2 linked regions of the Astyanax mexicanus genome follow. The protein of the gene in region 1 interacts with the protein of each later gene in a biochemical or structural test. Links are inferred from orthologs where the notes say so. Each region holds a gene or a part of one and is shown in the gene's direction. Other genes may lie near its edges. The genes, in order: lcp2a and tyrosine-protein kinase ZAP-70.

What was found.
Region 2: of the proteins of lcp2a (region 1) and tyrosine-protein kinase ZAP-70, one has a biochemical effect on the other in vitro, tested with the Homo sapiens proteins (2 studies listed by BioGRID). The link is inferred for Astyanax mexicanus from reciprocal best matches to the Homo sapiens genes LCP2 and ZAP70.

The regions. Positions count from the first base shown.
Region 1 is NC_064424.1:10,745,544-10,762,326, reverse strand, and holds the start of lcp2a (lymphocyte cytosolic protein 2a), read left to right. Parts: upstream 1-8,887; 5' UTR 8,888-9,381; coding exon 9,382-9,459; intron 9,460-9,849; coding exon 9,850-9,912; intron 9,913-11,447; coding exon 11,448-11,494; intron 11,495-12,223; coding exon 12,224-12,289; intron 12,290-12,389; coding exon 12,390-12,418; intron 12,419-13,493; coding exon 13,494-13,537; intron 13,538-13,655; coding exon 13,656-13,842; intron 13,843-14,382; coding exon 14,383-14,474; intron 14,475-14,581; coding exon 14,582-14,639; intron 14,640-15,184; coding exon 15,185-15,247; intron 15,248-16,783. Other genes in the region: zmat2 (zinc finger matrin-type protein 2), read left to right, coding at 378-395, 839-929, 2,681-2,804, 3,192-3,265, 3,372-3,517, 3,607-3,750. UniProt on the Homo sapiens protein: Adapter protein primarily involved in signaling pathways within T-cells, as well as other immune cells such as platelets, mast cells, and natural killer (NK) cells.
Region 2 is NC_064419.1:5,984,255-6,001,193, forward strand, and holds the start of tyrosine-protein kinase ZAP-70, read left to right. Parts: upstream 1-9,795; 5' UTR 9,796-9,991; intron 9,992-16,939. UniProt on the Homo sapiens protein: Tyrosine kinase that plays an essential role in regulation of the adaptive immune response. Regulates motility, adhesion and cytokine expression of mature T-cells, as well as thymocyte development.

The DNA.
Region 1 (16,783 bases):
AATGCCTATGAAAAAAACTAACATTTTTTTTACATTTTATTTTATGTTGTATATATTGTGTTCTTTTTGCATACTAATTGGAAACATGCAGCCACGTTTTTCATTCTCCTGTACATCTGTACTTATTTGATTTGTATGTTCTTTCTGAATGGGTGGGTGTTTGCCTGTTACTTGTTTATAGTATTCTTATTTATTTTATTGTATTTATTTATTTTACCTTTTTCAGCAAACCGTGTGTGAGAAGTTGTGTAGATTGAAATAAATGAGACAAATTAACACAGAACTCACCTTCACTTTAATCACACAGTTCCCACAGAGCTTTTATTTTGCCTTGTTGTTTTTCTCCAGACAGGAAGAAGATCTCGTTGGTCAGCAACATGGCGTCAGGCAGTGGGGTGAGTTATATTGTTTTTTTTTTTTTATTAGTTATATTAATGTCTGCAAGGTTATATCTGTTTTAATGTATTCAGTAAATGCTGTAATTGATAGACTGTAACATAGCCGGCTGAATAAACTATAAACTACAACGTTACCGTGCTAAAACACGCTCCTGTGGCCATTAGCTTAGGTAGCTAGCTAGCTAAGCTAACTAAACATTTGTCAGTGTTCAGTGAAAATTTAATGATTTATCCAACAACAGTTATAGATCTGTAATGCTGTTAAAGGAGCTGCTGACAATAACTGAATATCTAAACCATATATGTTGTAGGCGTTATATAGCTGGCATGTTAGACAACAGGTTATTGTCACGGTGTTTTATTGTTTATGGATACCCAGCTAGCCGTGGCTACCCTAACTAATTAGCGAATAATCTCCAAATCTCTTTTTTTTTTTGTAGTCTAAGAACGATTTTAGGCGCAAGTGGGACAAAGATGAGTATGAACAGCTGGCACAGAAGCGTCTCACGGAGGAAAGAGAGAAAAAAGATGGTGAGTACATTCATATAGTTTATATAGTGCACTACTGTACTGTACTATATTCACACTTTCACTGCCTATTGTTTGGAAATCCTGATATGACATGGTATATATATATATATATATATATATATATATATATATATATATATATATATATATATATATATACCATATTTTCTTTACATAAAAAATGGTGAGCACTAGGAAGTATGTTCACTGGTCTGTGCATGGCTTCACAGACTGCTACATTGCGCTGTGCTGTGTTACTTGGTGTGTGGTGAGCACTAGATACTAAGTGGTAAGCACCAGATAGTATGTTCACTGGTCTGTACAGGTCTGCACATTGCGCTTTGCTGTTCCACTTAGCCACTTTACCAAAAGTGGGGACGATAAAAAAGTGTCTACCTTCTATCGTCTCTATCGTTTCTACAGTAATTTCATCAATTATTCATGCAAATATATAAAGTAGGCTACGATGAAATGTATTAGCGTGGTCACTTTGCATAAACTCTGTTTATATAAGTGATAAAGTAATCTTCACAAAAAAGCTTCATAATGTGGTTTTGTGACACAACGCTGCTTTACGTTATTTGACGGAAATGCACAGACACCGGTTTGCGACATGCTTTACGTTTTTAAACTCATGAGAGCTGAACAATGGAGACGCATTGTTCTTTTTAAAGAATTAGCTACTGCATCTACCTCATCTGTTTTCATTCGATACATATATATTGCTGCAATAAAAGGTAGGAATTCTCGTTTGTGAAAGTTTGTTTTAATGTCACTTTGAAATAAAGTTTTTTCGAAGAATAACTGAAAACATACTTAAATGTAGTATATCATAATATATATCGTTATTGTGATATAAAAAAATTCATATTGTGATAATGATTTTTCCCATATCGCCCAGCACTACTTGTACAGTTACTTACATTGTTCTCTCACTGGACTTGCTGTTTTTATTCTGGAATGCCAATTACGCATACTTCATATGTGTAGACACTAACCCTACTTGCCACCTTGTTTATCTCATATCTTATAATGTACCTTATAAAACCAAAGAGATGCTGTGTTTTAGCTAGCCCACAGGTTTCTAAATAAAATATTAAAATTAAATTGAAATCCTCTCTGTTTAACCTTAGAACCTGTCTAGTTTACTTTGCAGTAGTGATGGCAAAAGTGGGTCTTTTGGGAGTTTGAATGAAATTAACCGATTGATTCGGGGAAAAAAAGATTCAGCCTTGTGAGTCCTGGGGGATAAATATGCCAGTAGAAGATTCATCACTACTTAAATATGCCTTTCCTAACTGTAAATTTCATTACAGAGAGTGTAAAAAATCCTTTAAATTATGTTATGTGCAGCAACAATTATAATAATTAATGTAGGTCTAAAGTAATTTTCTATGTATTAAGGAGTATTTGAGTAGAATTTTTTAAGAATTTACCACTCCTGGTGCTTTTTACCCATGAGTCAATACATGATGAATACTGTATATCATAGGATTGTCTTTCAATACAGATATAACAATTTGCCATGTCACCCAGGTCTCTCAGTGCATGATTATGTACACCAACGCTGGTGGCTTTTATACTGTTCATATCAATATCGTAATTATATCATACCAAAATTAAGAATTTTGCTCTTGTTTTATTGTATTAAATCTGATGCACAGATTTATAATTATATAAATAATTATTTGCCAGTATTGTTATGATTCTGTTATTGTGCATCACAAAACTCTATGAACGTTTTTTTACAGGCAAACCTATGCCACCAGTCAAGCGGGAGCTCCTCAGGCACAGAGACTACAAGGTTGATCTGGAGTCTAAACTGGGGAAGACAATTGTCATCACTAAAACTACACCTCAGGCTGAGATGGGCGGGTGAGTATCTAATGCAATTCCCGCGATTCCAACTGAATGTGAATAAGACTACTTTTAAAGAATTTGCATTAAACATCCAGAATCAGTCAATTTTTACTAAGAGAGAAAAAATGGAAAGTGCTGGCCTTTATTCCTTAGGAAGAATAAGGTAAATTTGGTAACATTTAACTATATTGCATAAACAGAACTGTCCCAAATCGACAATTTAAACAATAATTCTACATTATATATGACATGGTGAGGGACTGTCAGGAGATGCTGCTGCTGCTGATGTTGCCATTATATCTTTATTTTTTGTTCATTTTGTAGAATTTAGTTTTCTGGAAGCAAATATATTTTAAACAGAAATATTTGGTCTTATTGGTGTTTTCATACTTTTTTATGTAGATACTACTGCAATGTTTGCGATTGTGTTGTGAAAGATTCCATCAACTTTTTGGATCATATCAATGGCAAGAAACGTGAGTTTCTTTTTATTTCTTTGATTTGCTGTTTCAGAAAAATGTAAAAATAAAAATTGTATATATTATATAAAAACATTTTTCTCACTTTGTCTCACTAATATAGACCAGAGAAACCTTGGAATGTCGATGCGAGTGGAACGGTCCTCATTGGATCAGGTTAAAAAACGCTTTGAAGTAAATAAGAAAAAAATGGAGGAAAAACAGAAGGAGTATGATTTTGAGGAAAGATTGAAGGAATTACGAGAAGAGGTACAGAATTTGATTTATAAACATGTTTTGCTTTGCCTACAATAAATGTATTTTGTACATTTGGTTAATATTTTGATTTATTTATTCAGGAGGAAAAAGCAAAGGCATATAAAAAAGAGAAGCTAAAAGAAAAGAAGAGAAAAGCAGAGGAAGACCTGAATTTTGAAGAGGATGATGAAATGGCTGCTGTAATGGGATTCTCAGGGTTTGGGTCCTCCAAGAAGAGCCACTGATTCCCACCTTATACATATCCTTGCTTAAGCCTTTACAGTTCTTACAGAGTGGAGAACTATTCAACTATCAACAGACTGGAAGAACCCTTCCTTGACTGGACTACATTGGGTTTTTTTTATGTCAACTATCACAAATTCCATGAGCAAAGACGAAAACAACAATTAATCAAAATGTTTTCCACCTGTTACTTGTTTTATTACAGATTCATATTTGGAATTAAAATACGGGTGGAGCAGTTTGAGTTGAATGTTGTTAGTTTGATGCTTGTTGTAAATATGATTTTTTTTAAATTCCTCTCACTTGTCCAATTTATTCTGTAGATTTTGAAATATAAGGAAGGGTAAAGGAATGTGGTGTTACAAAAATTAGTGTTTTCATTGACACAAACTTGTCTTTCAGATCTGCAAGAGATGATTGAGGGTGTAGTTGCATCAGAAATACCCAAGCATAGAATAAAGGCAAGTTTTGTGTCAGGGCTGTATTGTGTTTTTTTTTGTTGTTTTTTTTATCCAACTCAAACATGTTCTTGCAAATAAACTGTATTATATTATTTTAAAAGAAATGTGCTTTAATTAAATTTTAAACAGCCTTGTTTCATTTAATTAACATTTCACACAAGCATTTACATTTTCAGGGCCTTTTTATAAATAGTAGTGACTGTCCATCCACGAAAATAGTTTAACTGTTAAAGATCTGCAGTATATTAACGTTATTTTTTTTTTTATGCCAAGAATATACCAATAAGAAAAAAGAAGCTTGTCAGAGCCGAAATGAGCCATCAGTCAGGCCAAGACACATTCTACAACCAAAACACCTCTGAGTACAATCTAAACACCAGTAATAATTGCAGTGCAACAAACAAATGAGCATATTCTGTCATTTGTTTACCAAACTTAAGTGTAATTTGATAAATTCTTATCTGGATTTAATCAAGATACTAAGCACATTAAGAGGTTTCAACAGGTCATACAGTTCAATTGTTTTAGCTATTGCTATTTTTATAGCTATTTTAGCATTGCAGTTTCATTCCAGAACTTAAGATGTCTAAACAAACCTCTCTTAATGATCTTTCTCAGAACTGTTCATTTCATTGTGGCTCTAAAACTATTAAATTTAATTAAATTACATTTACCTAATATAAATTAGCTTTGGCTGAGTGGTTAAGGAGTTATTGTTGATCACTTATTCAGTGACAGGCTGGAATTTTTACCTGCAGTAACAAGCCAACACTGATAAGTAATACACTTTAATAAATGTTTTGACTATTTATCATAGTTATATGACTAATGAAAAATTATATTTTTCCAGCTTAATCACTTTTTATTTTCATTATATAGTTGCATGCATTTTTCCACCCCATCATGACAGGATGGAGAGGTTATGGTTTAATTAAGCTAATAAAAAAATAAAACTCATATTATTAATTGTTGAACGTGCAGCAGGAGTCTTCAGTCCCTTAAAAACGGAAACAGTACAACCGTACTTTCTTAAAGTGGTGTGGTTGTTCCAAGATGACAGGGCATTGTTGAAAATGTTTAAATGCTTGATTTTCTTTTTACAAAAAAAGCTGTTTTCATTATTTAAATGTCTAAATTATTAAAAATCTTAATGAGTTATTCAACTTAATCAGGCAGCACTGTGGACATGGCAAAACCTCACCCCACATTAAATAAATCTGTATAAAATGTTTAAAATTTAACTTTAAAGTAAAAATTAACATTTTAGGGGACTTGTAATGTGTTAATTCAGAGTAAATCAGATGAAAACACTGTAATGCTTTCTTAATGATGATTTTTTTTTTATCATAACACTCTTATCACCATGTGATGGCGCTATTGTTTACCTATATGGTTCTGAAGACAACTGGTAAACCACAGGACTGTGCTTATTTAGATACAATTCATTCAGTGCCCTTAAGTTAAATTCCTGATCTGAACACATGAATCTAAACCCAGCATTTCTTTTGAAACTATAAAAGACACTGTAAGCAACTGTAACTGTAAACAACTGTATGACTCTGACAGTTGACCTTTTCTTTCTGATCTAGTTTAAGTACACCCACCTACAATACCAGTATACATTCAGCATCGACTGGAGTTCACAGGAAGTGGAAATTGTTATAGCGAATGACATAGAAAGTTAAAAGTTTTTGGGACGTGCAAATTTCAGATTGCATTGCTGGGAATAAACATAAATAAAGCCAAATAGTGAGACACTTCAAGTGTCATAAGTTTCCACTAGCAATCGTGGGGCCTGGGGGAAAAAAAAATGAAAGCTCAGACTTTCCAAGTGTGGGTGCTTTTTGGTTTGGCCTACTTTGATTACCACCTGACTTACTTACTTTTTAATGAGCTAATAATAGCTGTGGTTTTGTATAGACACCAACTACCTGCTCAAAAAAAAAACAACACTTGAATGCTCTAATACAGTGTGTCCAAATGTTTGTAGACACCCCTTCTACAGGGTTCGTGCGGGTGCTTGAAATCCTGGAAAATGCTTGGATTTTAACAGTCTGTTTTCCAGGCCTGGAAAGTGTTGAAATTTTAGAGAAAGTGCTTGAAAATGCTTGAAATTCTGACTACATTTACTATACAATAAATAATTATCTGACTAAATAAGTTTGCTTAAAGAAAAAATTGCAGAACGTAAAAGGAAAAAGGCTTTAATTTCTTCTCCTTCTGATATTACCAAACAATTCTGTTTGCATTTACGTAAACATAATACACTGCATCTCTTGCAGTGTGACAAAAAGCAAATCAATAATTTTGAGTATATGTATGTATAAATGGTCTCAACTCATCCCAGAATTTGATATACTACAGTAACTGCTCAATCAAATGAAAAGGGTAACATGCGGTGAAAAACATTGATAGTTACATTGTGTAAAACTGCCATTAATAAATCCATAATTTTTGCTATTTACTTACCTAGAACTATTTTTTTCCTCAGTGGCATAGTGTGGAGAATAGATTTGCTTTTGCAATGTATTGATTATCGCTGAATCACAGTGTTGAGATATCACCGTCATCATTAATTTACCACAGCTGAAAGGTGCAGGAAAAACTTGAAAATGGGCCTTGAAAGTTCTTAAAAAGTGCTTTAATTTTAGCTTGTAAAAGGTGTTTAAACTCTGCTTCTAGTAAAATGAATTCAGCTGCACCCATTGTTGACACTGTGGTGCAAATGCGTGCACACAGCTTGTCCAGTCCCTGTAGCCTATAGACAATACAATAGTACTCTGTGGAGCCGGTACACATTAACCTATTTGTATCATGCCTTATGTCAGAAAGGAGTATAAAAGTCTCACATGCATTGCCCTGTTGAGTGGTGGAATTGTGTTCTCTGTAATAATAATGCTCCATTCATACATTGATTAGTGGAGGAGGTTTTGGTGATCATCCAAGCCTCCTGTCCTCTGTAGTGTTTGTGTTGCTGAATGCTCTAAAATCTAGTAGAAAGCCTTCCCAGTAGAGTAGACAGTTTCTCCAATAAAAGCAGCAAAGGCTTTAAAAGTACTGACATTCATTACTCAAGTAGAAGTATAGATATTGGGGTTTAAAAATACTTCTGTAGAAGCTGAAGTATCAACTTAAGCTTTAAAGTGTAAAAGTATACAAGTTAATGTAAGGGAACAAAATGCTAAAATAAGGGGGGGAAATAAGGATAAAAGCTTAGACCATGCCACAGGATCCTACAGTGCAATAAAATAGGTGTGAAAAAAATACTCTAGTAAAGTATAGATAACCAACATTTCTACTTAAGTAAGCTAAGCAAGTATTTATATTTGTTGTATTTACTTGACACATTTAAAAAAGTATCCCTGTTGTTATTATTATTATTATTATTAAAACAGGACAATAAAATCTATTTTGCTAAGAACAAATGAAATGTGATGTATGAGAGCAGAGTCTATATTTATCTGCAGTTATTTAAAATTGATATTTAGATGTTTAATTCAATAGAATGGCTTGTTCTAAATATAACAAAGTAAAGCCACATTTTAGGCATGCTGCACCAAATCAGAAAAAAAATAAAGGTATGATTACAAGGACGTTTTGCAGGATATGGCAATAAACCGTCCGCTAATTGCTAAGCTAGCCTACTGTTTAAGCTACCAAATAAAGCATTTAAACCTTATCTCTTTTTACACTTTAATAATAAATAATTCTTACATTAATAGTTAAAAAACTATTTTTGCTATCACTAGTTTTTCTGTGCTACAACCAGCCAGTTATTACAAAACAAATTAAAAAAACAATTAATGGACTGGCTAGCTACATTTTTCATTAGCATCTTTAGTTAGCATCGCATGAAAATCTGTTTTACAACATGAAAATGTTTAAGAACCTTAATAAGTTTATCTATTTTAAAGTAATATGTTTAGCTAGCCATCACAGTTTGTAGTGTTGTAATTGAGAGGTGCTTGTCAGCTCCCCTAGCCAGAATATAACCCATTTATTATATCTGACAGTGATGTATGATGTATTATTAGAGCTAACATAGCTAGATAAATGTAGGCTACAGGAAGAGGCCAACTTAATGGTTTGAATGGTTTTCTTTTTTATAAAACATGTCTTATTTGTGTGAAATGGTGCAAATACATCTGTTGGATGGGAACTACATTTGCTTCCACTTTCTGCCCACACCTACACACAACCACAAGCAATGGCTGATTGCTTTATAATGGCTGGTCATATGAAGTTGTTTCACTCCAGTAAAGGGTTGCCTGGCAGTTTATTTAGGATTTATGATTAAAAGGCATATATTTGGGCATTTCTATTTATTAGGATATTTATAGCATTTATAGAAAAGAAAATAGACTCAATTCTATCACAAATCTCTAAGATTCATAGCCGTGGGTGGGCTATATGTGGCATCAGACCCCTGCTAAAGTAGCGCTCAGCAACTCAATTGGTGCATGAAGGTCAATATATGTAAGCTTGCTGTAGGTCATGTGGTTAATTGCTTGGTACTGGGCAATACTTAATAAATAATAAAAATGAAAGATGTATACATACTTGCATCCTTTATTAAGTTGAAATTTGTACTGTACAAATAGACATCTAGATGAAATAGTGTGGGTATGCAAACTAAACAGTGAACTGTTCATTTCTTTTTCTCATAAGGGGCTGTACTTCCCCTATTTACCGCGGTGATCAACAGGAAACCTACAGGGAAGTGCTGTCATTCTTTCTTTTCTCAGTGAGCTCAGACAAATCCTGGGTGTTGTTCGCTTTTTAAATATTTACAAATGTAACATAGATGAATTTAGACTATCTTTAAATTGCTTCCTATGTGAACGTACAGGAACATTTTCTCAGCTTCAAACATTTTGGACTTCTTTTTCTTTTCTTTTTTCATGCTGAGCGTTCTGTCAAGAAGACTTACCTTTTTGTGCCGGATTTACGTCTAGAACCTTGCTTGTGGGTGTTTTTCTCCACCCCAAAGTCAGACAGTGTGCTGTTCTTGGTTGCATCGTGGCATGTCAGAGCTAAACATCCTTTCAGCTTCTCAGGAGTCGTGCCTGGCGTGATGAGTACTTGGAGATAAAAAAAAAAGATTTTTTTTTTCATTTTATTTTTGTAGGGTTTTATTTTCATTTAATTTTAGACAGTGGCAAACTTGGAACCATGAGTTTCAACAATATTCCTTCCAAAATGGAGGTCATGAACTGGGATCCTGCTCATTTAGCTGACTTTCTAAGGAGGGTAAGTTAGTTTGTTACTGTTTTAATATGTTTTTTCTATCTTTAAGACCAATTTAAAACTTTAGTACTGACAGTTTTAATATTTGGTTGTTGTTTTTATTGGTGTTGAGTTTGATTTTAATTTTAAACACCTTTAAGTTTAAAGGAGAAGAACTTAATTCAGCAGCGAGGCCTACTGGTTCACATAGGGTAGAAGACATGGTCTAGACATGGTTGCTTTACACATGCAGATTTCACACATTCACATACTGAACATTTCCTCATTAAGCCTGCTTATGTTATGTCACACTTTCTTTGCAGAGTACTGAAAGCGTGATATTTTTCAATGTGTTTAAACTATGTTTTTCCTCTGCGTTACTGAGTGATGTGTTTTTGTCATTTTCATCTACAGCGGGAGCTGACAGGCTGTGATAAAGTAATTATGAAATGCAATATGAATGGACAGAGATTTCTGGTATGTATCTCATTCACTTTCTGAAGACCTTTTTAATTGTATCCATTACTTTTTTCTGTTGGTGTTATGAAAAAAACATGTTAATATATTTAATATTTTCAAAATAAGCCATGTGCATGTTTACGTACCTTTACAAACCTAAATTTAACAATGGATTCAATCACCTGCCGTAAAACTGTCAAATATTTTTTTATATATATATATTTGTTATATTTATATTTTTCTTGATATAAGAAGCATTATCTATAGACAAAATTCCCCTTCACACAGATATGAGTCATTGTTCTATGGCTGCTGCATGTTGTCATGGATTAAGGAAGTGCCATTATTAGAGGTGTCTTTTACATGTTAATATAAAGCTTGATCTGAATGATGATGCGAGAAATACATATATATTATTAAAAAGATTAGAATTATATATACAGCTATGTATTTGGTATCAGCTATGTATTTATGTATCAGTAATAATTATGTCTTGAACACCACTTATATTAGAAAACACAAATGAACAATACTGAATACTGCTTATATGTGCAAATACACTAAAATACCCCCTCCCTCGCAAACGCACACAAATACATATGCATATATGGCTCTGGAAAAAATAAGAGACCACTTCAGCTTCTGAAAAGTCTCTGATTTTGCTATTAATTGGTGTACGTTTGAGTAAAATTAACATTGTTGTTTTATTCTATAAACTATGCATTTCTCCCAAATTCCAAATAAAATATTGGCAGAAAATGAGAAATGGGTGAAATAACAAAAAAGATGCAGAGCTTAAATAATCCAAAGAAAACAAGTTCATATTCAAAAATATGAACATTTTTTCATATTCAGAAATTGAATAAGCCTGTTTTTAATCACAGTTTGCATGCATCTTGACATGTTCTGCTCCACCAGTCTTACACACTGCTTTTGTATAACTTTATGTCACTTCTGGTGCAAAAATTCAGGCAGTTCAGCTTGGTTTGATGGCTTGTAATAATCAAAGAAACTCATAATTTTTAGGTGCTCTCTTATTTTTTCTCTTATGTGTTGTTACTAGCAAAATGTATAATGGATTAAAATTGTATGGCTTTGGCTTACAAGTGACAGTATTAGACATCAGAGACTTATATTTATATGAGATCTTAACGTCGGCAGTAACAGTGTATTTGCTAGCAACACTATATTATAACATTAAATCAGATTTTTATCCACAAAATTATTTAAATACACAATAGAGGGGTGTTGTTTTTGTGTATTGATACATAGATAAGGAGAGTACATAATCTAAAACAAGTTATAAACGTGACTTACAGTGGCAAAACAACATTTAGGAGCCTAATATTTTATTTATAATAATTAGTAGACAAATAATATGTCTTCAGTTTCTGTAGTAACTATTTCTGTAATAGTTACTTATTTATACTTATTTATACTTATTTAATTATTTGTTCTAATGTTTTTTTTTTATGTTTTATGAATTTTATTTGCTTTCAAGTGTATTGTATGCTTGAAATAATAAAAAATCTTTCCTTTCTTTGTGTTTACAGAACATGACAGAAAACGACCTTCAGAAATTTCCTAATCTTTACTCCCCGTGAGTATCCTGCTTCTTTTTAGTTCAGTTTGAGATTTTAGTGCGGTTGTTAAACTTTGTTGAATTTCCTTTTTTATCTATAGTTACGTTTGTTTGTTTTGCATGGGTTGCATTTCCTTTCTAAGCTTTCCATCAAAATGTTGTGACCTTGTAATTGTAGGTGGTCCACGCTGCAGTATGAAGTGTTAACCCTCTTATTATGTGTTTCGGTGCATGCACTCACATTAAGAGGAAGCACTGCTGAAGAAAGATAGTGCAACACATGCAGATGTGGCAGGAACCATTGCACAGCAGAATCATGTGTTACTTCAGTAGTATTTCAGGGAGATGAAATGGCTGAATGTGCAGCATGTTAAGGAACTGAAAATGATTCTGAGAGATAAAGTATCAGAGACTAGACAAAACAGTGGTCATTTTGAAGAGAGTGTCATTAAAAATCACAGTGTATACATGTTTACCTTTAGAACAGTTTTAAGGTACATGGAGGAAAACGATCTATTTTGGTTACCACATCCTGCCGAGCCCTCAGCTCATGCGCCCACCAGTTCCAACTCACAAGACCTGCACATATCGTTCTTATAGTGAGCCGATAGTACACACATGAAGTAAAAAGTCAAAGAATTCAGTTCATTTCACAGGGTAATAATCTGTAATTCTGGGTTTAATAGTGGTAACCAAATATTATGTTTCCTGTGTATCATTTGTATTTCTTTTCTTTCACTTTTGTAGAATTATCTCCAAAATCTGTCGAGAAATCAACAAGAAAGAGGAGAAGAGAAGTATTTTCCCCAAAAGGCAAACACTTTAAAACTCGTTCATAAGTAATCCATGCTTCCTTACTTCAACTTTTAACTTTTTGTTAATAATTATGACTTTTGTTCTATACTTTATATAGGAATCCTGCACCAAAGTTCCAAGAAACAGGTACTGATGATAAGTGTATTTTAATCAGTTACTGTTCTTCATATAACACCTTTAGCCTGTGATAACAAATAGTACTTGAAAAGGCACAGTGGATTGACATTTGTGTAGAATAGAAATAGCTCTTATTAATATTTAGGGCCCTATCTGAATGATCTATAGGCGAGCCGATGACGGCGCGGACTGATTTAGAACATGTACTAATTCTCCTAATTAGTCATGGGTTTGTTTTGTACATAACATGAAATAAGCCAATCAGCTTATCACTTGTCATTCACTTTAAGAGCCAGGTGTGCTCTGACCTTGATAGATTGCTATTTTAACTGTGCAGCGCTTCTACACTTCTGAGTAGAGTACACTGAGCTGGGCATTCATGCTGTGAGGGTGTTAGAGCAGATCATTTACTGATACAGAAATGTTAATTTTTAGTAAATTTAGTATTATGTTTATTGTGGATGCAAAAGTTGGTTTAGTGCGTCCTTGTGTTTGTGTAACTAGCGGGATGTACATGTGGCGCTCCTGCGTAGCTAAGATAGCATATTAGCATATTAACAAGGTCAGAGTGTAAGGGTTCGATCAAAAAGGGTGACTAGCAACAACTAGCACTGTGCAAACTGCCTGCTTATATCATCACACACTTCGTATAAAACAAGCTTGTGAAGTTTCTGATGCACAAATTGACACAAAATTGAAAAAAGGAAGTTAGCTAGCCAGATAAAGTAGCTAATGTTGCAGCCAAGTGTGTATTGATAAAGGTGTGAAGACCAAATCATCCTAAGCTGGTGAATATACCATTCTATATTTATTAGCCTCATAGTTTCAGAGCAAATCTAAGACTCCAGGCATGTAGCCTTTTATGGTAAGAGAAAAAGTGTGCATCACAGTTTTTAGTTTTTGGCTGATAATTTGCTTCCCGCTGAATTATCCAACAGCAGTAGATGAATGTGCAGATGTCTGCAGTTATGCTCTGATGAGTAGGCAGGATGTCCGTATCTGATATCGTAGTGGGGGTTAGGTTTAAAAATCACATCACATAATTCATTTTTCTTATTCTTATTTTTTCTGTTTCTCTTTACAGTGGAAGTTGGTCATGATGAACAGGGTTGGGATTCCGAAGAGTTTGTAAATTTCATTTCTAAATCTCTCTTTTGAACAATTTTTATCTGCATGTTTGTTTGTTTGGTTGTTTTAAAGCATGCTTTTGTTTTTCTACATTTCATGCGTTGATGTTGCTGTAAAGGAAAGTGATGACTACGAGAGCCCGGATTCGCACGATGAAGGGGGAGGCAGTGGAGATTATGAGTCAGCAACTGAAGCAGGTGGGGAGAGCGACAATGATTATGAGCCACCCCCAAGTGAACCCTCTGATGACCTGCAGCATCCCCACATCCGTCCATCAAAACCCATTGGCAACAGCGAGTACATTGGTAAAGAGCAGCTTTAAGAGTTGAAACAATAAGTAACTTGAAGTTGTGCATTAGAGTAATTTTACCTCAGTAAAGGCCATTGTTATACAGAACATGAAGTGCAGTGTGTAAAGCACAGTCAACTTTGTTAAATTAAGGTAATGGTGCAGCATGAAGGGGATGATAGTGTTTTAAATATGGAAACAGGATTAAAAAAATGATAGGTGTATTTAATACTTTTAGATCTATTTTACAGTCTATTTACTGTGCATCTAATAATTCACTATTATTAATAATAATAATAATCACACTAAATACTTCTTCAGCTTGTTCTTTTTAGTTTATCCACAAAAGGATGTTTTTACACATCAATAAATGCTTGTATGCATATTGAGTAAGTATTTTTTAATCAAGGCTTTGAAGGTGGCTTTGCTCTATTTTATAATACATTTATAATACATTATAATACATTTTACTTCTTCCGTTTTAGAGAATCCAGAAGAACTCAGTCCCTTTGCTTCTATTTACTGGTACTGTGTTTTTTGTTTGCTGTGTATGCAGACCGACCTGGTACTTCAGTAAAAAGCCAGCCACCAGTTCCTCCTGCACGTCCCGGACCCGGTCCTCCACTCCCAACCACAGGACGCCCCAGTGTAAGTCCTCCTCAGTTCTCAGAATTGCCTCCACTTCATTTCCCTTCCTTTCCTTTTTCACTTCTTTAATTTGTATCCAGACAATGAATGAATTCTTATACTTGTAGATTCCTGGTGGGTTCAAGAGGACAGATCACTCACCTCAGAGACCTCAAAAACCACCACGTAAGTAAAACACTCATTTCTGGTTTGTAGAGTACATTTCTGGGAGGGCTGGGTGATATTAAAAATAATAATATTAAAAATATTATATTAAAAATAATAATATTTAAATGAGTACCACAATACAACATAAAAAAAACGTTTATTGCTATTTATTGCTGCTGTGTGAAAATTGCCTTATTTTTAAATAGTACATTTCTAATGTTGTATGTGTACATAAAACATTTGCACTCTTTGTGCTATTTTGTAAGGAAAAGGTTGTTTTTACATGTATTAATGGATTGACTATGTATCTGATGAGGTCTATATTAAAAACCCCACTTCAAAACTAGTAGCTAATTTTTCACTTAGAAAATATTTAAATTAAAAACACAAGCAAATGCTCATTATCAGGTCTGGTCATCTGGTTCTTGGTTTAAGACAGTTCTCTTTTAGAATTACCAAATTGCATATTCATTATTATGTCTTTATTTAAGTATTTGTGAAAGCCCTATCTAATTATTTTAATTCATCCATTATTTTTTCATTCATTCTTTTTTTATTTCCAGCTCCTGATCGCAGTAAAAAGCCAAGTACTCTGGAAAGAGGCTCTAACCTTATGCCAGTTCAAGGTAGTATGCTTCACTATACACTGTTTTTAAGGAACTTGTGTCCTAATGCACTTCCTTTTAATAATACAATACATTGTACAGTATTTACATGGGCTTATGGAGGGGGTATTGTTTTAGACTGTAACATAACACCTTTATTTAAGCAGAACATTGTGCTTTAAAGGTAAAATTTCACATTTATGATTATAAAGAAAAGTGTATTGGATTTACTTGATTCAGGTAACCTTAGTTCAAAACAAGAAAATTGTTACATCAACACAAATTAAGCTATGTATTACTACTATACCCACAGATAGTAAAGGTGTTCATGTAACATAAGTCATATTGAACCGAAGTTCACATTTTTATAATAATTTAAGGTCCGCTTCTCAGGGTTGTAACATTTAATATCTACAATTTGTTGACAATTAAGCTTTAACACAAGTCAATAAGAGGTTTTATCCAAAGTTTGTTCAATTAAGATGGAAATATAAAGAGACTAAACTATGCTAGAATAAATTGAGCTGGTTTTAGAAAGTGTGGCCTCATGTTCTAGTCGGACATAATCTTTAAACATGATCTTTACTGTGTTGTATCTCTGATAAAGGGAATGAAACTCTCAGTATCTCACTGTTCAGACCAGTAATTATACAAATGAGACCCATATTCTTAGTGATCAGAATATTTGCTACTACATCAATGTAATTACTTTTGTTCATTAAACATAAGCATATTTTAAACAAAGCCACTACAGATTACAGATAAGTTGTGTGGCAAACATCTACAGCCAGATATATTAGTGAGAAAACCAATCTCACTGGTCAAAATAATGCCTCATGTCATTCTTTGACTGAGTCTATAAGACTACCACAGCTGTGCTGTATCAAATCACATACAGTAGTCTATAGATCATCAACATTTGACCGTTGATGTTAGTGGTGGTAGAGTTCATCAGGTTACACTTAAAATAAATGTATTTCCTTATTGTGATTGGTACTGTATATAGCTTCATTCCAATTCCATTAGTATGAAAGAGCCTCTGGAGATACATTGAAAAAATTAATTCAAAGTGCAATTTTATGTTGGTCTAATGAAAAGAAATAGACCAGGATATAACCAACAGAAACTGCTCAGGTATTTTTATGTGAATGATAGTTAAGCTGGCCTGACCACCTTGCTGAATGTAACATTATGTTAACTGAGAACCACAGGGTTTACTCCTGCATAACCACTAAACTTTATTTAAGTTTATTCACATTCAGTTGCAGTTTGTGGTTACTCAAATGATTTGATTAAATGATAAGTCTTTTTAAGTTATTATAACTTAGTTAATTAGGGTTACTATAAGGGTTACTATTGTATGACTTAAGAAAATATATTATGGTATAATTAGGTGTACTTTACACATAGGGATGAGCAGAGCTGCCCATTCTGCAGCCAGACAATAGAGGTGCTAGGTGCGCTGTCTATACTTTGCACAGTCATTGGGATGCAACATTTTGACTTGGTGTGGTGTATATGGAAACCAATAACAACACGTAGACATCATTCAACTCT
Region 2 (16,939 bases), on another chromosome or scaffold:
TACTATTCTTATTTATTTTCTCTTCTTGTCTTCAATCTTCTCTTCTCATCCCCTCTTTTCTTCTTTACTACTCTTATTTCTACTCTTTCCTCTGCTTGCTGTCACTCGTCTCTTCTCATATTTTTCTTTGTTCTCTTCATCCGTCTTCTTAATTGTTCTCCATACACCTTCTCTTTTCCAACCTTTGCTTCCAACCTCTTCCCTTCACTTCTCATACCCTTTCATCTTTTCTCTTTTATTCTACTCTCTTATTGTCCTTACCTTTCTTTTTACTCTCTACTGTCTATTAATCTAATTTTTTTCTCTTCTTCTCTTTTCCTTCTCTAGTTATTTTCTCGATTCGTCTCATCTTTAACCATACCTTTCCTCTCTTTCTCCTATTCGTTTCACTTCTTCAGTGTTTTCCACTCTACTATCATCTCCTCCTTCTCCTCCTATTCCTCCCTCTCATCCCTTTCTCCCTCTCATCTGTTCTCCTCTGCTTTACGCGGCTCTCTCCTTCTCTCCAAACCCCAGAGGCTTTTCCTGCTATTACTTCTTCTTAGAGACTGGTTTTATCGTGTGGTTATTAGACTCACAGTCAGATCTCCAGTGGTTTTCATTAAAGAACTCTCTCATCTCGCTCTCTGCAAACAAAAGCCCCTCTAATCGGACCCCCCTGTCCTCTCCTTTGTGAGCTCGGAGCACAGCTGCTGGCTCTGCTATAATACAAGAGGTTTTAAAGTCACTTGTTCACTCTCTTGTCTACAGACTACTCATGCTATTCAGAAAGTCATCCATTCACCTTTACGTAAGACAAACATGCCACATAGGGTGAGCTAAATAATGATTATGAACCCCACTAACTGGATACCCCTCTTCAGAGTGCTTCTTTCAGCCCATACATTGAGTAGTTATTAGCACAGCAACACAGCAGAGGTAACAGCTCTAACGATACACTTCAGCAGCAGCAGTTGGAAAGCTAAAGGATGGACTTGTGTTCATAAAAATAAATTTTTTTGTGCTGGATATTTTGGTTGATTATAAAAAATAAAGTACATTTCATCTTGAGAGATGATGCAGGAACATCACTGCACTTTCAGTTGTGGCATCCAGCCTCACCCAGTTGGTTGATCGATATAAAAGAGGATAGCAATCAGCCCCCAAAAAGAGTGATTGGTCAGTCTCTAGTTGTAATCCAGTTGTCGTCATTGAAAATCAGGTGGATACAGCTGAAGACGAGAAGAGGGAAGACAAAGTGTTGCCCAGCGGTTCATGTTCAATCCAAGGTTAAGGCTTTACATTAGATTCTAGAGCATTGCTGTGAGGATTTGATTGCATTCAGAGACAAAAGTTACAAATTAGTGAGGTCAAGATGTTGGATGATCACCACCATGCATCCAACCATGCAAGTCAACAACTCAACCCAAAAGCTCAATGTTAAGACTTAGTACCCTCTCGCCCATGCATGACATTAGGCATGGTGCCAATGTTTATCAGTTCACTAGAGCTCTTGTCTCTTGGCAATACTTAGCAAGCAATACAGTGACAAGACTGACAAGCTGTGTTTGTGGATTTAAGAAGCCGAATGAATTCATTAGAATGGACGTCCACAAACATTTGGATGTAATGGCTTAAACATGTGAGCTCCAGTGCAAAACTACAGAACCAAACTTTGGACAGCAAACACGTCTTGGCCGATTGACTGCATTGTGGGTAAGGGAGGGAAAACTGTGTAGATTAGAGTTTTGGGCCAAACCACCAAACCAGTTAAGGACGGGTTTAAGAATGAGAGGAATCTGGGAAGTGTGGACGGTTCTGGAGGTCTGGATGGCTGGCGTGGTGTTACTGCGTAACTGTATCTGACTGAGGGTCCAATAGACCCGTAGTCTAGTCGTGTTCTTGTGTATAATGTGAAGCAGGAGAAGGTGTGTGAGTGTGTGTGTGTGTGTGTGTGGAGGCCGAGGGGTATCAGGCACCAGCAGACTTCACTAATCAAACCCATAAGACCCTGCTGCACGTACTGGACGTCTCTGGAGAGCAGAAACCCTGCTTTTCATTCTCTCTCTCTCTCTCTATTTCTCTTTCTTGCTTTCCTTTCCTCTCCCCAAATCTCTCTCTCTCTCTTCTTTCTCTCTCTCTCTCTTTTTCTGAAAATCTTCAGTCACATTTTCTCTTCACTACACTCTTAAAAAGAACAGTTCCACAAAAGGTTCTTCAAGCAATGCTATAAAAGAACCATCATAGTACCACCACGGAACCATCAAAGAACCAGTTGAAGAAGAACCATGTTTGAAGTTGAAAGTATAAAGAACCTTCACATAATATAAGAACTGTGGGTGGGAGATATGCTCCTAAAATAATATCACAATATTTTAGGGTATTCTTGCGATGACCACATTCTTGATTTTATGCATTTTTGTGCATTCAATAAACATATAAATGTTCGTAACTTACCATGACTCTGATATTAAAGAAAAAATAATAGTGTAACAAAATAGAAAAAGGGACTTGCTTTCAAGAATGTAAGTAATATATTAAATATTATAAATATTTTTTTTATCATGTCAAAATATCTGTTGATAACTTTAAGTATGATACGATATGGCACACCCCTAATACAAACCCAGTATAGAACTTATACATTTTTTTTCACCAATTTAACCAATTTGTGTGGTGTTCATATTTTTGTTACTCGTTTACTTTGTTACTTGTATTTAATTCAGCAAAATTAAGCAATTTTACATTAAAATGCTTTACACATGCTCGCTTCACCTAAATTGCTAGCAATATAAACAGCTTACATGGTTAATGTTTGCCCTTTACCTTTCTTATGTCACATTTCTTTCAAAAAGTGCTTCTCTTTTTTTTATTAGTTTTTTAATAAAATGTAAAAAAAAATGAATTAAACTCAAGATATGAGTAGAAAATTAGATTAGTTTCAAATTTGCCAATGAAGCAATGTTTATTAGCTCTTGGCCAAACATACTGTATGTAATATAAATGTGTAGGGGGGGGGGGGGGGGGGGTTTACAGTGTGTGTTTATCGAAAATGTGTTTTGATATATGTTTTTCACAAAAAATGAGCCAATGCCAATGAGTTTGATGAAAAATGAAAACGAGTCCCACAGACCCGAACACCACACAAGGGATAAGAACCGTCATGTTCTTTAAAGCAGCAGTCCTGAAGATTTTTTACAGTTTTTAATTGAAAATTAAACATTTAAAATTCCTGCAAAACCACATTTTTCTGTCTTTTCTTCACTAAAACGATCAGAATCATTTACCCACACTTTCACCAAAAACTCTCAGACTGTCGCTTTAAGCATTACAAAAATGTGCTTCATGCTGAAGCATCTCGTTAACAAAGACATCTCTTTAAAGGAGCAAAACTTTTCAAACTGTTTCATTAGAGATATGAGAAAGTTTTTTTTTAATATATAGTTTTAAAAACCCATTAATGCTGCAGGGATACATGCAGCAAAACAGTCCCAAATAAAATCTTGTTTTTTAAGATGTGTCACTGGGTTGTTCTCATCATCATTCAATGATCTGCTCTCTAAAGTCCTGGGCCTCATTGATCAAGCATCTCAAAAAGTAAAAGTACTAATAGTCTAATGGACTCTCTATTAAACCTAAACATGCACCTATTGGCATAATGCTAATGCCAGGCAAGGTGGTGACCTCACTAATGCAATCAAATCCTCAGAGCAAGGTTCCAAAATCTAGTAGACAGTCCTGCCTGGACAGTAGGCATAGTTTATCCAACAAAAGAAAGATACAATCTTTTTAATACTCTAGATTTCTAAAGAAACAAGGAATACACAGGTGTCCCAATACTTTTGTCCATCCACATTACTTGTCTCATTACTTGTTCATTGGAACAGAAAGAGCAACGATTTGATGCTCTAACAGAAACTGCAGTCTAATAGTTTGGGGGTATTGTGTCTATTTTGAGTCCTAGAAGTATTTGGGTTGGTTTCCACAACATATTCTAAAAGTCTTGGACGTCTCCACCGTCCTGAGGCTGTCTCAGGCAGACAGGGTTCATGTTAGGACTACAAAATCTGTGCTGTACAATCAAACAGTACAAACACAAGAAACCAGACAGATCTGGACACTTCTGGGCTTTTCCATGCATATCTGCCTTCATATCCCTATTTGGACAGAATATCTGGCCAGTAATGTGCCAGCAATGGGAAAAAGGCATTTGATGGAGAAGAGCCAGAAATCACTGGCCTCCGCAACCTCACGTACCTCAGTGAGAAGATCTAAAAGAGTGTGTTTATACTTTTTAGCTTTGGTTCAATTGCAAAAAAAACACTAGTTCAATTACTCTGTTGGTGCAATTTGTTAGATTAAGGGTATTGTTTCACCTGTAGTTAGTTTTCCTGTTTAAGTGTGTTAAACGGTACATATTCTAAATCTTTTACATAATTTAGAAGTGGTCTATGGGCTAAACAAAACATGTGCATGAAGTTCTTTACGCAAAATCACTCTCACATAACGAAATCCCACCAGCTCACCATTATCTTTCAGAATGCACTTTTATGCAAATAAGCTGTGGCTGGACACACCATGTATTTGCTGAGCATTTACCACACATTAGTGTTAGCTTGTGCTAATTGGAAAACATGAATAGTCTGGTTTATGCTGGTTCAACTGAGGTAGAAGCACAAAACGTATTATTCAAGAGTACTTCCATCTCCCTTATCTGCTGACTAATCCTACAGATCCCTCTATCAGAAGATGTCTGCTGGCTAATCCTGCTGTGCAAAATTCATGAAATTGTGCGTGGGGCTGTGGTGGGGGTTGACGGACAAAGGGTGGTGCCAGGATGGTTCTATGCACCAGGGAAGCAAAGAAGTATATGAGGATTTCACCTCTTCCCCTTGTGTCTCTGTTATACTCAAAAAGAAGGGGTAAGGGTAAGTGGTAGGGCCAAGGGGGGAAATGGGATTGGGCCTAATACCTGCCCATTAGCAGTGCAGCACTCAACAGCATCTACATGATGGACAGTTTTAAAGAACAGCGAACTCCATCCACATGATGTGTCTTTGTCATTTTGGCAAGTGGAGGCCTCTAGTTATGTTCATGATGTAACTAGATGTCTGTTAACTAGATGTCTATGTGAAAGCAAAGCCAGGAGCAGATGAGGTGAACTACAGTAGCCGTGACCAGACACCAGTTGCCCCATATAAACCAGACCCCTGTGAGAGAATGCAGAGTCTCAGATAGTGAGAGTCAGCGGGTGCGGATGCAAGCTCAGCTAAACGGCTGGTGATGCAACATCTAATGGACTCACTCAGCCAGCGATCAGTCAGCACACGGCAGAGTGGAGTGTGTGAGGAGTGAAGTGTGTGAGGAGTGATCGTGATCGTACATGGGCAGCAGCACTCCCTTCACACTAAAATTCATCGGATTTTTTTTTTATCTCTTTAACTGAGCTTCAATGAAACCGTTCAGTCTGACTGATCAGACATATCCAGCCATGTGACTACCAGACCAAGATATAGAGAAAGAGAAAGAGAAAGAGAGAGAAAAAGATATAGAGAAAGGGAGAGAAAAAAAGAGATAAGAGAGACCATTCATTATTTCTTCTGAAATCAAGGGTATTAAAGAATGGAGCACCATCCAAAACACCATTCCAGAGAAAACACTCCCAATGCTCCAAAACTCAATGCAAAGTTGGCTTTGTACTCCTAAAGCCCATATCTGGTATTAGGCTTGGAGCCAATAGATCAATTGATTATCAGCTCCAGAGAGTCCTATTCTATTGGCAGTAATCAGTGCCACTTAAAGTAGCTGAATGCATTGATTAGAAGTAGTGTCCACAAACAATTAGACATATAGTAAATCTGTATCTGGGGATCCAAAACCAAACTTTGATTAACCATTATTGTGCTAAATAAACTGTTAATAGTGATTACGTAGCCATTACAAAGTTAATTCAGATTTAACACTGGTCATTTTTTATCTCACTGGTGGTCTCAAACCCAATTAGCTCTCTAATGCAGCCATATAATGGGTTATATAAAGAGACAAATAGCTCTCAAACGTTCTATTAGCCGCTCTATATTACTACAGCCCTGTACTTCTCATTCACATTCAGATCTGCTTTGGTGATCAGCAGTGATCTGCAGGGATCTATTAATACTTTCACAGTTTCCACTTGACCACTCAAACTGTGGTGAATGCATCTCTTTAAAAAACACCATTGTTAAAACGTTAAAAACTTGTTAAAAACTTCCCGCAGAGCCATTTAGCCAGACAAAAACTGAGAATAGGCTTGAACTAATGTGTACAAATGATGGTTAAACCAACTGAAAAGTGTTTAAAATCTAAAATTTTAACGAAAACTCTTCTTATAAAGCCAGTTAACCAAACAAGAATTAAACCTACTGTACATCAGACTAATATTCACTAATGTAACTAGTGTGAAATGGTTTAGTTAACTTTTAAGGTGTTGAATGAACAGTTGTAGTGTTTAATTAACTCTATATACAGTTAATTCAGACTTAACACTGGTCATTCTGCAGTGTAGATTCTGTAAACTGTTCTAAGCAGTGGTCACAAACTCAAACAGTTGGTTCCATCAATAGATTTGGTTCTAACTCCAAAATACAACTTTTAGACAGTGCAGGGATCTACAGCATTGATGTGTTAACATTTTTACTCTTTCCATTCTCGAACTAATGTGCACAACTAATGGCAAACCCATTGAAAAGTCTAAATTTAAATTAAAAACCCTTCTTTCTCTTGGACTAATGTGACCAACCAATGGGGAACCCATTAAACAGTATTTTTTGTCTGGATTAAGCCTAGTTTATGCTTTGGGAATGGTTTCGTTAACCTTTACAATGTTGAATGAACTGTTACAGCGTTTAATTAACTCTATGTATCTTAATAATGTGCATAACTAATGACAAACCCATTGAAAAGTCTTTTAAGTCTAAATTTGAATGAAAAACCTTCTTAAAACCACTTAACCAAGCAAGAATTAAACCTACTGTATCTCAGACTAATGTGCACAAATTATTGAGGTTTAATTTAGGCATGTGACTACAGTGACTACAGTGCACAAACAATGGGAAATGGTTTAACCAACTTTTACAGTGCTGAATGAACAGTTGTAGTGTCTAATTAACACTTTATATAGAGTTTATTCAGGTTAAACACTGGTTATTCTGCAGTACAGACATTGTTAACAGCTTTAACCAGTGGTAAAACTCTCAGAGAGTACAAGGATCTACAGCAGGGACCTGTTAACACTTTCAGTCTTTTCAAGAATTACCTGAAAATACACAGTAGTCTTGGACTAATGTTCCCAAATAATGGCAACCCCAATTTAACAGTATATTATATCTGAATTGTGGCTTAATTTAGGCATGAGAAATGGTTTCATTAACTTTTACAATGTTGAATTAACTGTTACAGTGTTTAATTAACCCTATATAGAGTTAATTCAGACTCAACACTGGTCATTCTGCTGTGTAGATACTGAAAACTGCTCTAACCAGTGGTCCCAAACTCAAGCAGCTGGTTCCATTCCAGAATACAACTTTCAGAGAGTGCAGGGATCTACAGCATGGATCTGTTAACACTTTCAGTCTTTCCAAGAATTACCTGGAAATACACTGTAGTCTTGGACTAATGTTCCCAACCAGTGACAACCCAATTTAACAGTATTTTATATCTGAATTGTGGCTTAATTTAGGCATGGGAAATGGTTCCATTAACCTTTAACGTTACAGTGTTGAATGAACTGTTCCAGTGTTTTAATTAACTTTATACAGAGTTAATTCAGACTCAACACTGGAAACTGCTGCAACCAGTGGTCAACACACTCTAACTACAGTCTCCAGTTCCCCACAGCAATACAAAGACCACTACACGCATGTATACAAGCACTGTGTGTAAGTTAATAACGCTTTATAATGAAGTTATAAGAGTTATGAGTTAATACCTCAGTTCAGGCAGTGGCAGCAGGGTTCTGGAGTATCTGAAGCTGGTCCAGGTCCTCCTTCTTCACGGCTTCATGCTGAGAGGATCAGTGCAGGGTTTGTGTTCTGCAGTTTCTGGGTTATATATGGTTAATATATGGTTTATATATGTTTTTATATGTTTTGTATATGTCCTCCTCTCTGCTCTGTCGGGGAGAAGCTGCTCCGTGTAGCCGGGCAGACAGCAGCAGGAGCCGGGGCTGAGCGCAGGGAGGAGCTCCGCCTGCGGTGGGCGGGGTTAGTTTTATTTTCCACCCGTTTTCCTCAAAACCCCGCCCCCTCCTCCTCTTATTGGACAGCTGCACACGCTCACAACTCCTCACGTGCAGTTAGGACCTTAAACAGAGTTGAGTCAACTGAGTTATGCCAACAATACACTTAAAAAACACACACTTAAAAAAGTTAAAAAGAGTTAAAAAGCCTTAAATCTGACACTTTTCTACAGAGCCCCTGAAGGGACAATGTGTGTTTTTATTTTAGTAAATAAAAAAGGGGTGAGCACTAGATAGTAAGCGGTGAGCACCACATACTCTGAAAACACAAACAAATAAAAATAAAATCAGACACTCATATGGAGCCCCTGAAGAGACATGATGTTGTTTTTACGTAAAAAAGTAATTAGCACCACATATTAAGTAGTGAGCACCAGCTTCTAAGTGGTGAGCACCACATTTTAAGCAGTGTGCACTAGATAGTAAGTGGCATGTAAGTGTAAGCACCAGCTACTAAGTGGTGAGTACCACACTTAGCCACACCGCAACATTGTCATGCTGGAGACTGGGCTCACCCAACATTGCAAACGCAACATTGGCATGCTGGAGACTGGGCTCACCCAACATTGCAAACGCAACATTAGCATGCTGGAGACTGGGCTCACCCAACATTGTAAACGCAACATTAGCATGCTGGAGACTGGGCTCACCCAACATTGCAAACGCAACATTAGCATGCTAGCAACCAGGCTCATCTAACATCTCCAACATGGCCAGGTTCATCTAACATCACAAACGTAGCATTAGAATGCTGGTGATCGGGCTCATACAACATCTCAAACACAGCATTAGCATGCTGGCTAGCCAATAGGAAGATTGCTCTTTCTTTAAGCCCTCTCACTAAACGTTCTGTGGTCCATATGGCTGTTTAGCCCTGATGACCGACTAGTTTCTTAGTGTTTCGTTCCATGGCCTACTCACGTAGAAATCTTACTCTCAGAGCTCAGAACTGTTTCGCCTTTGCAGCACCTTTCTTTTTAAGAGTCTAGGCTCTATACAGTGTGCATGTTCTTGTTGTTGTTCTTGGTTTGAGGTCCTGGGAACCTGCACTTCCACCGTCTGTCATATTTACAGCCATGTCTTGTTAATCTGCGGCCATATTTGTCTTTGAAGTGCCGCGGCGTGTTTTGGTTTTAATGGCTGTTCTGTGTAGTCTACGGTAATCTCGCGCGGCCATAAAAACTGACGGCTAAGGATCTTTTATAAGGTGTTGTATTATGACACATTTTTGAGCGGGCCGTGGCCTCTGAGGACCCCTTGTGCTAAGTTGCGATGGAGAGAAATATACCAGTGCTTCATACTGTAAACATGCTGCGGAGCCCTGCGCTAACAGAGTCGTGCTGAGCTGATTTAGGTGAAGATGGAGTAAATTGCTGTTTCTGAGAAACGGAGAAGCTTGCAAAAGGGAATGCAAGGCTGTGGGAGAAAAGAGAGAGAGAAGATCAGCCCACAGAGTTCACCTGCACACACACACACACACACTCACACACACACATGCACTAACACACACACACACACACACACACACTGAAGCAGTAGCTCAGAGCCCAGCAAGTGCAGATGTCATAGATCAACCAAGATCACAAAGCTTCATCACCTCAGCAGAGTGAAGACGTTTGTTAGCGTAGCGCCCTCGTACCCTAGTTTAATTAATTAAAAAAGTGTTTCTCAGTCTCATTAAGTGTCTCTCGCCCTTTAAATTTCTCTCTATCGTCTCTCTGGACGCTCCAGGTCTTGGTGAGTTCCTTAACGCTTGGCTTGTTGTCTTGTTTGGGCTTTTTTTTTTTAATCTGCCCGGCTGTGTTCCGGTTCTTGATCTGCCTCTGGACCGGTTTCCCCACTGATGGAAAAGTCAGGCTTGCTCTAGACGCCTGGAAGTGAGGCGAGGCAGATTAGACGAGAGCTTTTTGGACTGATGGACAGATGCAAGTTCTGGCCGAGAACCGCCGCACTGGTCCAAGAATGCTGATAACGTTGTTCAACACGTGCTGGATTCTGGCGGCTCAGAGCTGGAGGCCTTTCCTTCATTTCTGCAGTACTGAAGGCCTCCAACTCTGAGCCGTTTTCAGGTTCAGTTGGGTTTTCAGACGTTGCTTTGTCTGCTGTGTGTGTTGTGTGTGTGTGTGTGTGTGTGTGTGTGGTGGTTCTGGTATTGTGTGTATCCTGTGGTGGAGTGGTGCAGCACTAAGGCTGCTCTCGGCTTTTGTTGCACGTTGGAGTCTATAGTTTATTGTAGCAAAAGTAAAATAAGTGGCATTATATAAATTGTGTCTATAAGTTGTCACTAAAAAAAATTATAATTTACCGTTTGCTTTGGATCAAGAATCAAGAATACTCAATATATATTATATATTTAATCTCAAAATAATTGAAGAGAGTATCATAACAGATTATCAAAAAAACAACATCTGTATCAATTCTAACTAATTCATTATTTTATTTTTCCCTAAATTGCACTTCTTGACTTTAGTTTTAACATTAATATATTTCATTTTAACTGTTTAACTGTTCCTTATAGCTCTCCAGTTCTATCTCTTCTTATGCTCTTCTTAACTCTTAAGTTGATTAACAGTTGATTAATATTTCTTCCTAAAAGTTCAGTTAGAATTTAAACTGTTAAAAAAAAATCTTTAAAAGTTCAATCATACCTCTTTAGTATTATGTATTTTAAATTGATATCCCTAACTGTTTAGTATTACGTTTGTTTTTTTAACCATTCATGTTCTCTTTAGTCTTTGTTAGTTTTAACAAAAAACGTTCTTTTAACTTGTTCAATTTTACGTTGAACTGTTCTTTATAACTCTTTTATTATATCATAAATTTCTCTTCCTAAGTCACTTAACATTAATGTTTCTTACAAGCAATTAGCATCTTAGCCTGGTCCGTTCTTTTTTATGTGCTACTGTTAATTATATTTGTTTAAGTTTAAATTGAACTGTTCTTTATTTAACTCTTTAATTGTATTGTTTATATGTTTATATTGCCCTTCCTAAGTTAATGAACATTATTATTATTATTCTTATAAGTATTTAGTATTTAGTATTAGCTTTGGCTGTTCTTCACTCCATAAGAATAAATCCTCTTTTACCTGTTCAGTTTTAACTTTTTTTAATTTTTCTTTTAAACTAGTCAAACTCAACTTTTACTTTTCTTATAATGGCTCAGACTTTTAACTTAAAAAAAAGTGAACTGTTTAACTTAAACTGTTCTTATTAACCCTGCAGTTATACATTTAGCTGTTCTTATTAACTAGCTCATTAATTTAACTTTAATTATTAATTTTTGAACTGTTCAGGTTTGTTTTAACATTAGCTTTTCTTTAGTGTTAAAAGTAACCATTGTTTTTGTGTGCTAGGGTTACTATTTGAACTTGAACTGTTCTTTATAATTCTATAGTATTTATAAGTTCATAGACATTTATGATTCTTTTAAGCAGTTAGCATTTTAGCTTTGGCTGTTCTTTATAACTCTTTAACTTTATTGTTTATATAAATTGCTCTTCTTAAGTTAATAGACATCTATGTTTCTTTTAGGCAGTTAGCATTTTAGCTCGGACTGTTTTTATGGATTTATTGATCTTTTTTTTTGCTTTTTTTAACTGTTAAGTATTAAAATGAACTTACTGTTTATTTTTTTAGTATTAACTTTTTAAAATAACCAACTATAGTTAGTAGTTAAAGTGTTTGGTTTGTGCAGAAGTCACTGTAACTGCAGTGTCGTGATTGGCCTTGAGATCCAACTGTAAAATCATTTTTAAATTTATATTTGGTTCATTTTCTTAAGATTTCATTGAGTTATAATAGAAAGATGTGTGTTTAAGTTGCTGTAAAACATTATAGCTAAAAGGAGCAGCTGATAAAAGGCGAGAGCACGCTGAAGCAGAGATGAAACATCAGCTTTTCCACCACTCTACGCTACACAGCAGCTGCGACATCACAACTGCAGATTAAACTGTATTTATAGAGCTCGAAAACTGATGTTCAGATGATTGATGTTGTCTTTGACTCTTTGTTAGCAGATGTTAAACGTCTGCAGCCTGATCTGACATGTTGCTTTTTATCTATAGCTAAAACATGATGGCTAAAATTGAGCAAAAAGACAGAATAATAAAATCTAGATCACAGATAACGAATGTTCAGCTCAGGCAGGGTCAAGTTAGCTTGATGACGTTGCGATTAATTAGGCTGCAGGAAAATGGACATTTCTGGCCTCGTATCTGTTCATTTATTTGAGACGTCATATCATCAGTTCATCTGATTTTGCTCTTTATAGGTATATGTTTGAGTAAAATTAACATTGTTGTTTTATTCTATAAACTACGCACAACATTTCTCCCAAATTCCAAATAAAAATATTGTCATTTAAAGCATTTATTTGCAGAAAATGAGAAGTGGTAGAAATAACAAAAAAAAGATGCAGAGCTTTCAGACCTCAAATAATGCAAAGAAAACAAGTTCATATTAATAAAGTTTTAAGAGTTCAGAAATCAATATTTGTTGGATAAATCTTGGTTTTTAATCACAGTTTTAATGCATGTTGGCATCATGTTCTCCTCCACCAGTCTTACACACTGCTTTTGGATAACTTGATGCTGCTTTACTCCTGGTGCAAAAATTCAAGCAGTTCAGTTTGGTGGTTTGATGGCTTGTGATCATCCATCTTCCTCTTGATTATATTCCAGAGGTTTTAATTTGGTAAAATTAAAGAACCTCATAATTTGTAAGTGGTCTCTTATTAACAGAATAATACACTTACAGTGCATCAAGTCCAAACAACTGACAACATTATGGCAGTCATAGAGAAATACACAAATATTCAACAGTAATGTAAAAACAAATAAATAAAAAATAGGACAGATACTTTTCAGTTTGGGACAGCTGTAAAAAAGTTAGTCTGGAGCCACGACAACGCTGAAATAATATATTGAGCGACCACAGACTGAACCAGTGGACCCTAAGGAACGGGCAGGAGTCCAGACCTGACCCAACTCCAACTGCCCACAGTACTAACAGTAAAGTCCAAAAACAAGCAAAACTGTTTTGCAAACATGAACATGAACAGTCAGAACGTGAATAGCTGTCTTTAGGACAGGGGTCAGCACCGCTAATGGCCTATTGACATAGATTGCTTTCATGAAATACAGTAAAGCAAGTTAAAAACAGATAAAACATAAAAATATGCAAAAGAATAAATAAACACTACGTTTTTTTATATGCATTTTTCATACTGTGCCAACATTTCTAATTTTGGGCTGTACCTCAAATGTAGATTATCGGTCCTTTGTAGTGTGGTAGGCTCCTAAAGATAACACCTAAAAAAAATTGTAATATATTTCATATTTTACTCTTTTACCTTAAACACAGGTGACAAGTAATGAAGTACAAATACTTTATTATCTTACTAAAGTAGAAATTCAGGTTATCTATACTTTACTGGAGTAATTATTTTATTTATTTATTTTTTTATCTCCATACATTTACACACAATTATCTAAACTTTCGACTTCTTACTTTTTAAAAATAGCATGTTTTTTTATTCCGGCTTCTTATCGTTCAAAAAAATAAATCAGTAGTAGTGCACTATAGGACTCTGTGGTTCGGCCTAAGATTTTGTTCTTAATGGCTTTAATTGTTCCCCTTATATTACTTTTACTTGTAACTTTTAATAATAAATGTACTAATAAATTAATAATAAAAAATAAAATGTCACCAAATGACTGCCTAATGAAGAGTAATCCAGATCTCAATCAGATCTCATTAAACAGAAAACCAAAAATACAAGTTTTAAGTTATTAGTTTTAGTTCTGTGGAAAAGTCTTTGCGCTCTGACTGTGAGTGTTGACCGGGGGGGGGTTTAAAAACCAGGACATTTTCTCACTTTTTGCAAAAAACCTGGGAAGCCCAGGACAGGACGTGAAATACGGACATGTCCTGGGAAATACGGACGTTTGGTCACCCTACATTATCTAGCTCACTAACCTTAGTTCTCTCTCCGGTAACATTAGCTAGCTCGCCGCTAACCTTAGTTCTCTCGCCGGTAATGCAGGTAACTTGCCACTAATGTTAATATGTGCTTTCCCACCAGTATTAAACAGACCGTCTGAAAATGTAATACCTACAGCAAATTTACAGTAAATTTAAGACAATTTAAGACCTTAATAACCCAGCTTTTAATTTAAGACATTTTTAGGACCCTGTTAATGTATTTAAAGCAAACCACTATTAAATATTTTGTTTCAAGGTCAAAAAATTTGAGCTTCCAATAATTCCAGGAGACCTACTTTCAGTGTTTCTGTAGAAATCTAAAAGAAATAAGATTAAAAGCTTAGCACCTAATCTGTTAAACATGGTGGTGGTTGTAATCACCAATCTGTAATCTTTTAGACAGCACTGCATTAAAAAACATAATTCAAAAAAGTTTGGTTTTAAATAACAAATATATAAAAAAAAAACGTCTTATTGACAGATCACACTGAAACTGACTGATTTGAGTGATAGTGATCCCCAAACTGAGCACAGATGGTGAATTCTGGAACTAAATTTTATTTAAAAAAAAAAGGCTAAAATCCCTTCAGAGTCTCCTGTACATAGAGAGTGGTACAGTCTGAAAGTGAGATCTGGTGTGTTCTGCTTATTTTTAGTCTGCTGAGTGTCTCTGATTGCCTCGCCTGTGTAAGGCTTTGATAGCTGATTGTGTGGTTTGGCTGCTTGTTTTCACAGTGTAACCTGAGCGTTAGCCCTAGCGTTAGCACAGTGTGGGGGTGTCCTCATTAGCGCGCTTTGCACCCAAACGTCTGCGGCTCCTTTACACACGTCCGGAACGCAAACCGGCAACCTGTGTGTTTTTCCTTAGTGGAAACTCCAGAAAGCAGTTTTAGGCCCACAGATTAAACGGAGGGTGTTTTTTGCGTATACAGAGAATGAACGCACTGACCCGTACGGATGATCGCATGCAGCATTTTGCGAAGCTAAGTGTAGATAAATAGTAAATGTACAAAAAAGTATTGGGAGGCATACACTGTTAACCCATAATATATGCTGTTGACCTCAAATAAATTCAATCTATTTAAAATAAAATTGCATTTCCAAATTTTACCCAACTATTTTGAGTTTGGTCAAACATTATCTTTCTTTCTATTCTATTCAGGGACAATCTCTTTGCATACTGGGTGTGTCCACCAGTTTCTGACACTCACCATCAGTGTGTAGTGATTCCCCCTAAGCTACTTCAGGTAAAGTTGTAGATCATATATTATGATAAACTGAGTGGCTTCTGTGTTGTAGGCTGTAAGAACAAGCCTCATTTTCTGAGCAATTTCATCTTTGTAGGCTTTGTTGGCTTTGTTCTCCATCTAATAAACAAACAAATAAAAAATTTGTTTATCTGGCCATCAAAGAAAAGTACAATTAATGTGCAGTTAAACTGACATAACATAATGTTTTAGTAAACATTATTTATCTCCAGGTTTACAGCATTGACTCCCTATTGTCGTAAATACGCAAAATAGTACAGTGATTATTGAATAAACAAATTGTTTATGTGTGACATGCTAGAATTAAAAAAATAAATAAATAATAATAACAATAATAATATATATCTGTTGACTAAACTTATATCAGTCAAGTCTTTAGGTTTATTTTTCATATTAATTTTTACTTTTTTTTTTACTTTTTTTTTGGTAAAGACAACATGTTTATTTAACTTTACATAAAGAATTCAGTAGTGATGAGCCAAACTAAAATTTCTGGCCAAAACCTTTGTTTGAAACTGAATTTATTATTATTAACAGGACAAAGAATATGATAAATACAATTATTTGGGCTTCGAGTGGTCCAGTGGTCTAAAGCACTGCCACTATGATAAGGAGATCATTGGTGGAACAATTGGCCTAGCTAAATTGGAAGAAAATAAAAATATATTTATAAATAAAAAGACTATGAGGTGCATTGTAATATAATGCACACTATCAATAAACGTATATTTTTTGCGGTCTTTTTTCATACACAAGGCGCACCGGATTATAAAGCACATTTTAAGTGATACTAGTAAGGAACAAAGGTGTCGCCATGTTTCCCTTCTAATTCAGCAGTTCAAAGTCAAACAAGCGCTGGATTAATCTTAATCTACACAGATTTATCTCCTTATTTGGGCGAGAAAAGCGCTTCCGTTTATTTACAATAAGCATAGATTTCCAATAGTTTAGCACGGATAGCAGCAGCGCTAGCCAAGGTCAAATCCTCACAACAATGCTCCAAAATCTATTAGAACTGTAGTATATATAACTGTATGATATAATATTGTTATCATGCAAAAATCTTATAAATCCATTTTTGTATTTTTCACTTGTATGTGAATCTAGCATTTGTTCTAAATATTGTGTCAAAATTCATGATACAATAGAAATAGAATAGAAATGCTCCAAAATGACTAAAAGTTAATACGCTTTTTGACATTTTGGAGATGCAAGGTTCTTCCACTGCTTTGACAGTATACAATACTTGAACTTTACTGCACTATAAAAAAGTTACTGGTACACATACGCTTTCCCTCTGCTTGTCGTATTGTTGTGCATATTTTCCAGCCAAAACAGCGCTATGGCCTCCCCCAACAAACTTTTCACTTTCTCTCAGATTTTCCATTAAAACCTCTAAAAAAAATAGTGATACATTTCCGCATGATTCAAAT